2 linked regions of the Nothobranchius furzeri genome follow. The protein of the gene in region 1 interacts with the protein of each later gene in a pairwise test. Links are inferred from orthologs where the notes say so. Each region holds a gene or a part of one and is shown on either strand. Other genes may lie near its edges.

Evidence for each region.
Region 2: the proteins of ccdc174 (region 1) and eif4a3 interact in binary tests that used the Homo sapiens proteins (3 or more experiments, as listed by UniProt). The two-hybrid records come from large-scale screens. The link is inferred for Nothobranchius furzeri from reciprocal best matches to the Homo sapiens genes CCDC174 and EIF4A3.

Annotation. Positions count from the first base shown.
Region 1 is NC_091743.1:48,526,705-48,531,194, forward strand, and holds the start of ccdc174 (coiled-coil domain-containing protein 174), read right to left. Parts: upstream 3,078-4,490; 5' UTR 2,975-3,077; coding exon 2,933-2,974; intron 2,746-2,932; coding exon 2,635-2,745; intron 2,551-2,634; coding exon 2,450-2,550; intron 2,378-2,449; coding exon 2,319-2,377; intron 2,239-2,318; coding exon 2,085-2,238; intron 1,939-2,084; coding exon 1,843-1,938; intron 1,468-1,842; coding exon 1,331-1,467; intron 1,248-1,330; coding exon 1,153-1,247; intron 450-1,152; coding exon 296-449; intron 198-295; coding exon 45-197; intron 1-44. UniProt on the Homo sapiens protein: Probably involved in neuronal development.
Region 2 is NC_091746.1:29,295,345-29,299,166, forward strand, and holds part of eif4a3 (eukaryotic initiation factor 4A-III), read right to left. Parts: intron 3,093-3,822; coding exon 3,012-3,092; intron 2,917-3,011; coding exon 2,775-2,916; intron 2,695-2,774; coding exon 2,556-2,694; intron 1-2,555. UniProt on the Homo sapiens protein: ATP-dependent RNA helicase. Involved in pre-mRNA splicing as component of the spliceosome. Core component of the splicing-dependent multiprotein exon junction complex (EJC) deposited at splice junctions on mRNAs.

The sequences.
Region 1 (4,490 bases):
GATTTTTAAATTTAGAGGTTTTAGTTCTGATGACTCAGGCTCACCTTTGCCCCGATCCCACTCTCTAACATGTGGAACTCCTGGTTTGGTGTCCCTCCTCTCCTGGATCTCCACTTCCACCTTCCTAAGAATGCTGGCCTCTGGTGGTACATCTGGCTGAGGGGTGGGTCCGACAGCTTCGTCCTCTTCATCCTCTCCTGAAACACAGAACCAGTTTTCACCAACAACTCTTGATCATGAACCTGCAGCACTAAATCTGACCTCAACAGCAGATGAACTGGATGTGGATGCTTACCTGGATTCTCCTCTTCCTTCTCGTTCTCGTCCTCCTCAGTGCCATCCAGCTTTCCCTTTTTCTTCTTCCTCTGCCTCACCTTGGCTAGTCGAGCCTGAAGGATGGCCTTCCTCTTGTCCTTGAGTCGTTCTCTCTTAGTCCGCTGCTCTGTGGTCTGAAGGGAGGGAAGGAAGAGAGGAATTATTCACCTAATTTAGGATTACTTAATGCATTGGTTTTGAGAAGTGTACAATAATTATGGCAGTAGAGAAAACCTCGACAAGCATTTGAAGTCTGGTCCAGTTTATGAAGAACAATAAGAAAAAAGGTTGTTTCTGAATTTAAGAACTTTACAAACCAAAACACTTTGCTCATTTTGTAACCTTTTCTTACATACCATCTAATCAAGTTTCCTGTTGCTATTAACTCATTCACTGCCAATGACGACTAAAGTCGTCATTTGCATTTTTTTACTGTTTGAGAATCAGAACGAGCCCCCGCGCTGAGAGAACAAACATCTCAGCCCTGAAGCCGATCACGTCACGTGATCAGGAAGCAACACATCCATGTGTTTGGAGATCGTTTTGGGCCGTTCCTGTAAAAAAAGTGAGGCGCGAACCGGAAAAGCGTCTGCCGATCACAATTCGACAACGGATTATGAAAGAACGGATAACGCTGAAAACACGCGGATTCTTCCTGATGTAAGAGGAGAGTCTCCGCTTTGTTTTGGTTGTTTTGGCATCGACATCATGCTAGCGTGCAACGTTCTGTGACTCTTAAAAAAAAAAAACAGTAAAAATGGTGAGAAACGCTGGCAGCGAAGGCCGTTAGTGATCAGGAAACGGCTGGCAGTGAATGAGTTCAACACCAACACACACCTGGTCTCTGAGCATGTCCAGAGTTTCCCTCTGCTTTCTGCGCTGCTCTTCATCATGGGCGAAGGCAAAGTAGCCCACACCAAGGTCACGGGCCTCTAAAATGGAGGGAGAAAGACTCTTGTTTCTGACAAAAATAAAGGCTTCAAAACGTTTTGATCTGATCCCATCAGATACTGACCTTGTGCTCTAATATTCTCGTAGTGAACAGGTCCAACGGGCCTCTTCATTGCCTCCTCTTCCTCCCTCTCCCACTCCCGCCTCTGCAGCTCTCTGCGCATGTCCTCGGAGAGTAAGGTGTTCTCAGAAGTGATCGCTCTACAGGAAACAGTCATAAGAATGTGTTTTATCCTGTTAAAGACATTTAAAAGACAAAATCTAAAACTATATGGAAAAGGCTGAATAAAAGTCGTAAACTGATGTTTTTTATTAACACTCGCTCCAACTTGACATGTTGTTTTACCAAAAAAAAGTTAAGCAAGTACAACAACTGGAGAAAATAACCTTTTCCTCTTTTATCTGATCAGGGCTTTTTATTTACATTATGGATAAGTGATTTTTATACACTTCAGTTTACCAACAACTTAGATTCCTTTAGGTTGGGTCATTTCAGAGTATTTTAAACTAACATCCAGTGAAATACTGTAAAAACAGAAACAGCTGCAGAAATTTCTGATTTACTGAAATGTTTACCCTGTTCCTTTAATGTCTTGGTCCAGTTTCTGAAAACTGGGCAGGTCTTTCTTCATGCATCTTCGAGATCGTCCCAAAGCGTCCACAAAATCAACCCTACAGAGAAACATCAGGTTTATCTGGAATGCAAGACTTTCAGTTTAAACATCATTAACCTTGCTGACATGACGCTAAGTTAATCAATAGAATTTATTTGATCAGTTTGTTGTGTCCAAAGTAAACTCATGAATTTAATCTATTACCATTCCTCATCTGGGTTCTGAGGAGGAGGAATAGGGGACAGGCTCTCTCTTTCCTCATCTTCTTGCTCCCTCTTCTTCGGTGCAAATGTTTCTTTTTGTTTGTCAATAATCTTCTGGGTGAAGTCAACAAGGTAAAGGGCTTCTGTCTCTTCATCTGGAGATTAAAAACACATGATTCACACATTGCAAGTGGAACTTGCTCATATAAATATAAAGGAGATTAACTCCACCAACCTGGAAAGTCTCCTTTAGTCATCTGATCATAGAGTCTGGCCTTCTCCTCCAACTTGCGCCTGTTGTGAGACAGATAGGATCAGTCATAAGTTTAGATCTGCTGAATATCCTGGCTGTGACTCTGAACTCACCTGGCTGTGTCGAGGCTGATCTGCTCCTCTGTCAGCTGCTCTGCGTCTTTCGCAGCTCTTGCTGACACGCCAGCATTTTGTTTGCTCCAGATATTTGGTTTCTGTCAGGGTAAAAAAAAGGACTGAGACTTATAAACCTTTCCATGTCACTTAAACGTCCTCTACAGTAAAACCTAAAACTGTACCTTATTGGCTGTGGATTTAGCTCGGTGTCCAGCATCAGAGCTTTCTTGGCCAAGTTTCTCCCGTTTGAACTGCTCCTGTTTTCTGTAGAGCTCCGCTTTCAGATCTACTAACTGTAATAAACAAAAGTAATGAAGTTATGTGGGTGTTTATTTTTCCCTATGCATATTGTACCAGCTGTAAATCGTCGTAGCTAGCAACATTTTCGCAGTAAACACTAGCCAGTTAATCGTTTTGTTTATTTTTTTTTTGGATGAAAATCACACATAAGTTTATAAATCCTTAAATCAGGAAACTCACCGATGACGCAGCTACGTCCAATGTTTTCTTCTTTTTATCCATGTTGATTGTTTATATTTTTAATCATTATCTTTCAGTTATGGATGTGCTAGCCTATTTTACCCACTACGCTATTAGCCGTCTGACTTCTTCATTGGTGTTTATCCATTCTAGTGGGTTGTATTACCGCCACCTTCTGGTGGACAACTGAATCTGCAGAAACGTCTGACAAGGCGCTCCTGAAGTTCTGATTAATCTTACTTGTGGCTGGTTTCCTTTTCTGTTGATTAGAAATACCTTACTCGATAGGAAGAGATTGTTTTTGAGAATAAAAAGCCGCGTGTGTGTGTGTGTGTGTGTGTGTGTGTGTGTGTGTGTGTGTGTGTGTGTGAAACTAAATGTAGAACACAAGTCTGGAGTGTGAATGTTTATAATTAAATAAAAAGCACAGTTAAAAAGCCCACTACCAAAACTAATTTGATCAAATTATCTCCTAAATGTATGAAAAATAGGGAAAAATGTCAAGTTAAGATGTGCAGCAGCGGACAGTGTCCCTACATGAAACAGCTATGGTAATTATTAGTGAAACAATGAGTAAACATGTTGTAAATTCTGGCATTTATGGAAGGATTTGTGTATTCAATAACTTGTATTTATAGTTTACACAAATTTGTATGTTTAGGTGTGCATTATAAATTTCACTTGTCTTTGGGATTAGTAGGACTTCATAAACACGAGGAAAAGAAAAATAATTAAAATACAAAGTGCTTTTTGTAATTAATGAAAATAAAAATGTTGGTGCAATGATGAAAAATGCCACCAATGTTAATGATCACTTGTTTCATCTCAGATGGTGAAAAGAAGTCAATTGTTCAGATTAATTACTCAGCGGAGTTTAAAATGAGTATTATGTAGTCACTCATCAGATCTGCAGCAATAGCTTCTATTTAAATAGAAAAAGTAATTTAAAGTCTGGTGTTTTGAAGTAAACAAATACATTTAAATGAGTCCCAATGTTACTCAATATATAAATTCATTAGTGCTTTCACTCAGGATTTAACAGATCCATGTTTAATGGCTGATGTGAGTGAAAAAAAAAGATCATTTCCATTCAAAAAAATACAGCTTTAACAGTTTCAGAAATATGCAGTGTTGTCCTCTATATTAGGTAAACATCTATATAGACATTTATAAAGGACTTATTTACATTCTATGATTGAGAAGATGCTTGCTAGCCGATGCCCATCCATATAATTAGATGTTTAAGAGTTTGGTGAATTGGACACCAGGTACAAAAGGTAAAGGCAACAAAAACACTACCTACATCTCAGTAACCAGATCACACACTGCTCTGATGTCCATCTTTATTTTTACTGAAGCTTTAAACTGAGTGTGAGTGCTGACCTGCATTCTTCAGTTTAAATGAGGTTTTCTCAGGGACCTGGCAAAACAGGTTTCAACGTACATTTTCCCTGCGGGAAACACATCGACGTAAAAACTAATAATTCTATGACCAACAAACTAACTGAAAATGTCACAGGAATAACATTCTCTGAATAAAAAGCACTTGAGTCCAAAT
Region 2 (3,822 bases), on another chromosome or scaffold:
CCTGCTTTACGTCGGCTGGCAGCTCGTTCCACAGACTTGGTCCGAGCGCTGAAAAGGCACGACTCCCACGAGACTTCAGGCTGTACCTGGGCACGGTTAATAGTCTCTGGTCAGCTGACCTAGGGGAACGCACCGGGACATGTCGGTGGATGACGTCACAAAGGTGTTTAGGTGCCCCTGAGTTTAACGCCTTAAACACAAACAGGAAGACATTAAACCTGATGCGATAGGAGACAGGGAGCCGATGCAAGGCACGTGGGACTGGTGTAATATGTTCAGACCTCCTGGTAGATGTTAACAACCGAGCAGCCGAGTTCTGAGCCGCCTGGAGGCGTGCTATTGGCGCTTGCCTAAGCCCCGCATATAGCGAGTTGTGATAATCCAGCCTGCAGGTACCAAAGGCACGGATCACAGTCGGGCAGATAAATAACAGTTTTTCTATATCGGCCACTGGTCAAAATTATTTTTAAAAGCCGATAAAAAATAATAATCTGGCACCTGTGTGGCCAGCTGCTGCCGCTACTAGACTAAGAAAGGACCCGAAGAACCCCAACACAGTTTTTTTTAATGTTTTGATTTTGTTTTACATTTGAAGAGATTTATTGACTTATTTAATTTATTTTGCACACAGTGAGTGTTTGGTTGTCTTTCACAATCAACGTGTAGGAGCCATTTGTGTTGTTTTCATTTTCTTTCTGCATACCTGAGAGGAGGCTTGGCCTCATTTGATTGGTCGATTGATTGTGGAAGCACCAGCCTACTTAAGCCAACACAGATGAGACTCAGGTGTTGCTGTGATGGGACAAACAGTGTTTTACTGTGTGGCGAGGACTGTGGCTGTGTGTAACGGGCTCTGCGGACTGTCACTGGAGCAAGTAACGCATTCATTTGAAACCCTTCAACTGCTGTGAACGGATCATGGACATTTTGGAACAAGAAGACAAATAATAAACATCATCAGAAATAAACACAAGCTGCAATTCTTTTAAACACACGTAAAGACCACCACCCGCAGCAGTAACCAGTAGTGCCGGTGTATGGGGCATTGGTATTACACAATGTGCTGCTAAAAGGTATATTTGTATCGGTCTTAATAATTAGATTTAGATATCGGCCACCGGCAACGAAATCCTTTAAAAATCGGTATCGGCCTTAAAAAGCCCATATCGGTCAGCCTCTAGTTGAAACTAAATCACAGGATTGGCAGAAGGTTTGGAAGTCTGTGTTCATCATGTGTTAATAAACGAACGGCATTTAAAGGAGACATAACATGAAAAACTCACTTTTATCCATTAACACGGTGTGTTTCACATTTTAAGTGTCTAAGTGAGCAAAAAGGCTTATATTATTCACTAGAGTTGCTATTTAGATATTTAATAATTAAGTTTTGGGCATATTTGTCCACCCGTTCAGTTTTTCAAATTACCTATTACGTCAGAAAATTATGCCGTCATGATAACTACCAAATATGGTCATGGCCCTCAGCTAAACACAGAGCCAATCCGCCATTTTTTCTTCTCGCCAAGATTTTTGTAGTCCTATTGGAAAAATGCAGAATGTCTGGTTATTTTGGCCACACAGCTCAGAACTGTTCCTCGTTTTAAGGAAGGGTTGTGTGGCAGCACTTAAAACCCAGAAGCTGATGACACTACTGCAAAAAAATAAAAAATAAAATAAATAAATACATAAAAACAGAAGAAAAAAGTAGTGTGTGTGTGTGTGCACGCGCCTGCTCGCTTGTCCCTCAGTCGGCTGTGACGGGTGTGTGTGTGTGTGTGTGTGTGTGTGTGTGTGTGTGTGTGTGTGTGTGTGTGTGTGTGTGAGACTACAGACAAATGCATGAGAGAGTTAGCAGCCTTGAAACAGCCTGATGAACAACTCTCCCCACATGTTTTAAAAATGCTAATATAATGTTTCTGCTATGCTAAATAATGATTTCTCTATAGAACTACAAAGTCCAACTGGGGGAGGAGAGTACAGGTCTGCACTGTGGAGGGGGGGCGGAGCTTACAGCTCCTTCTCCAGATTTAAAGAGACAGTACCCAAAAACGGCTCGTTCTCAAGACTCTCCTCAGAACGGGTAGATGAGGGTCTGTGGAGCAACGATGAGGAAATCAGACCAAAGTACTGCAGCTCGACTGTATTTAGACCCCAACTGAAGGATTTAGATGTAAAAAGGAATAAATTAAAAGCATGTTATGTCTCCTTTAAAGAAATTAGCGTTAAGAGCTGTCAATGCGATAAGACTTTATTGTCAACAAGAATATTTTATTGAAGAGGTTTTCTGTTCAACATCAGACTCCTTAAAAACCCAAAGCTTACTACATCTGCGTATTCACGAAGCATAACACATCCCAGCCTGGTGTTTTTAACCAGGGCACAGCCAACATGGGATGATGCATCATCTGGGAAATTAAATATGAATAATTCCACATCCCCCCGTAACGCGCTCGCGTACCACTAGGGGTACGTTTACCCCTGGTTGGGAATAACTGGACTAGCGCAACAGCAAAACCAGATCAGATCATCGGACAAGGACCTGTGTGGGTTCTGACCTTTCTCTTGGTGTTACAGAAGATGACGGCCTGAGTGATGGTCAGCGTGTCGTAGAGGTCACACAGAGTATCAAACTTCCATTCCTCCCTCTCCACGGCAACAAAGAACTGCTTGATGCCCTCCAGGGTCAGCTCATCACTGGGGGAAGGACAGCGGACTTTACCAACGTCGGCTCCATTCTGAACCAACTCCTGGACCCGACGAGTTTCTTGACTCACCGTTTGACCAGAATGCGGATCGGGTCAGTCATGAACTTGTTGGTCATCTCCAGAATCTCGTGCGGCAGCGTGGCGCTGATCAGGACCACCTGTGTGGCCGGGGGCAGGTACCGGTACACGTCGTAAATCTGCTCCTTGAAGCCTGAAAGGCACAAACGGACACGTGCTGAGGGACTCCTGGCGACCAGCACCAGGTGGATCCAAGTCCATCCAGGCGGTCCACCTGCTCAGCCTCACCTTTGTTCAGCATCTCATCTGCTTCATCCAGAACCAGCATCTTGATGGCCCGGGTTCTCAGACTCCGGCGCCGAATCATATCTGCGAAGAGACAAGCGGTCAGATATCAACTCTGACATCATCGACCAATCAGCCAGGAGCAATTCAGCAAAACAGATCACATGGTCATGACGCAATGAGGTGCCCAGTTCTGATCGGACCGGGTCTAAATGAACTTCTGATAGGGATGCACCGATGGATCGGTATTTGATCGTAATTGGCCGATAGCGCCCCTATCGGTTTTGATCGGAATTTTCAAAATAGATCAAAGCAATCCGATCAGGTAGAGTTGTCACGGTAACCAGTGTAGCGGTAAACCCCGGTAAAAAAAAAAGGTTGACAATAATAATAACAGTCTTGTTTTTAAAAAAAACTATTATTATCTCAATGGGTTTACCGTGGCTGCGGTGTAGGCGCGGTGACCCTTACCAGCCACCGTATCATCGGCTGAAGTTGCCGGCGGCACAGACGCACGCTTTGTTTACAAAGAAACTTTCTTGAAGCTAAAGCTGAAATAATGGTCAAAGGAGGAGACGGCAGCGCTCAGGAGGACATTTATTATCCCTCAAAGAAGACAAAGTCGGAAGTACGGGCATATTTTAGATATTTGAAGAATGCCGAGGGAGTTTATGGAAGACGGCTATCCTGTTTGCAGCACGTGCAGAAAAAGTGTCTGTGAAAGGCAGCAACGCTTCAAATCTCATGACACATCTGCGTGACCATCACCCACAACTCTACAGTCAACGCAAGGCAAGCTAACGTTAGCGTTTTA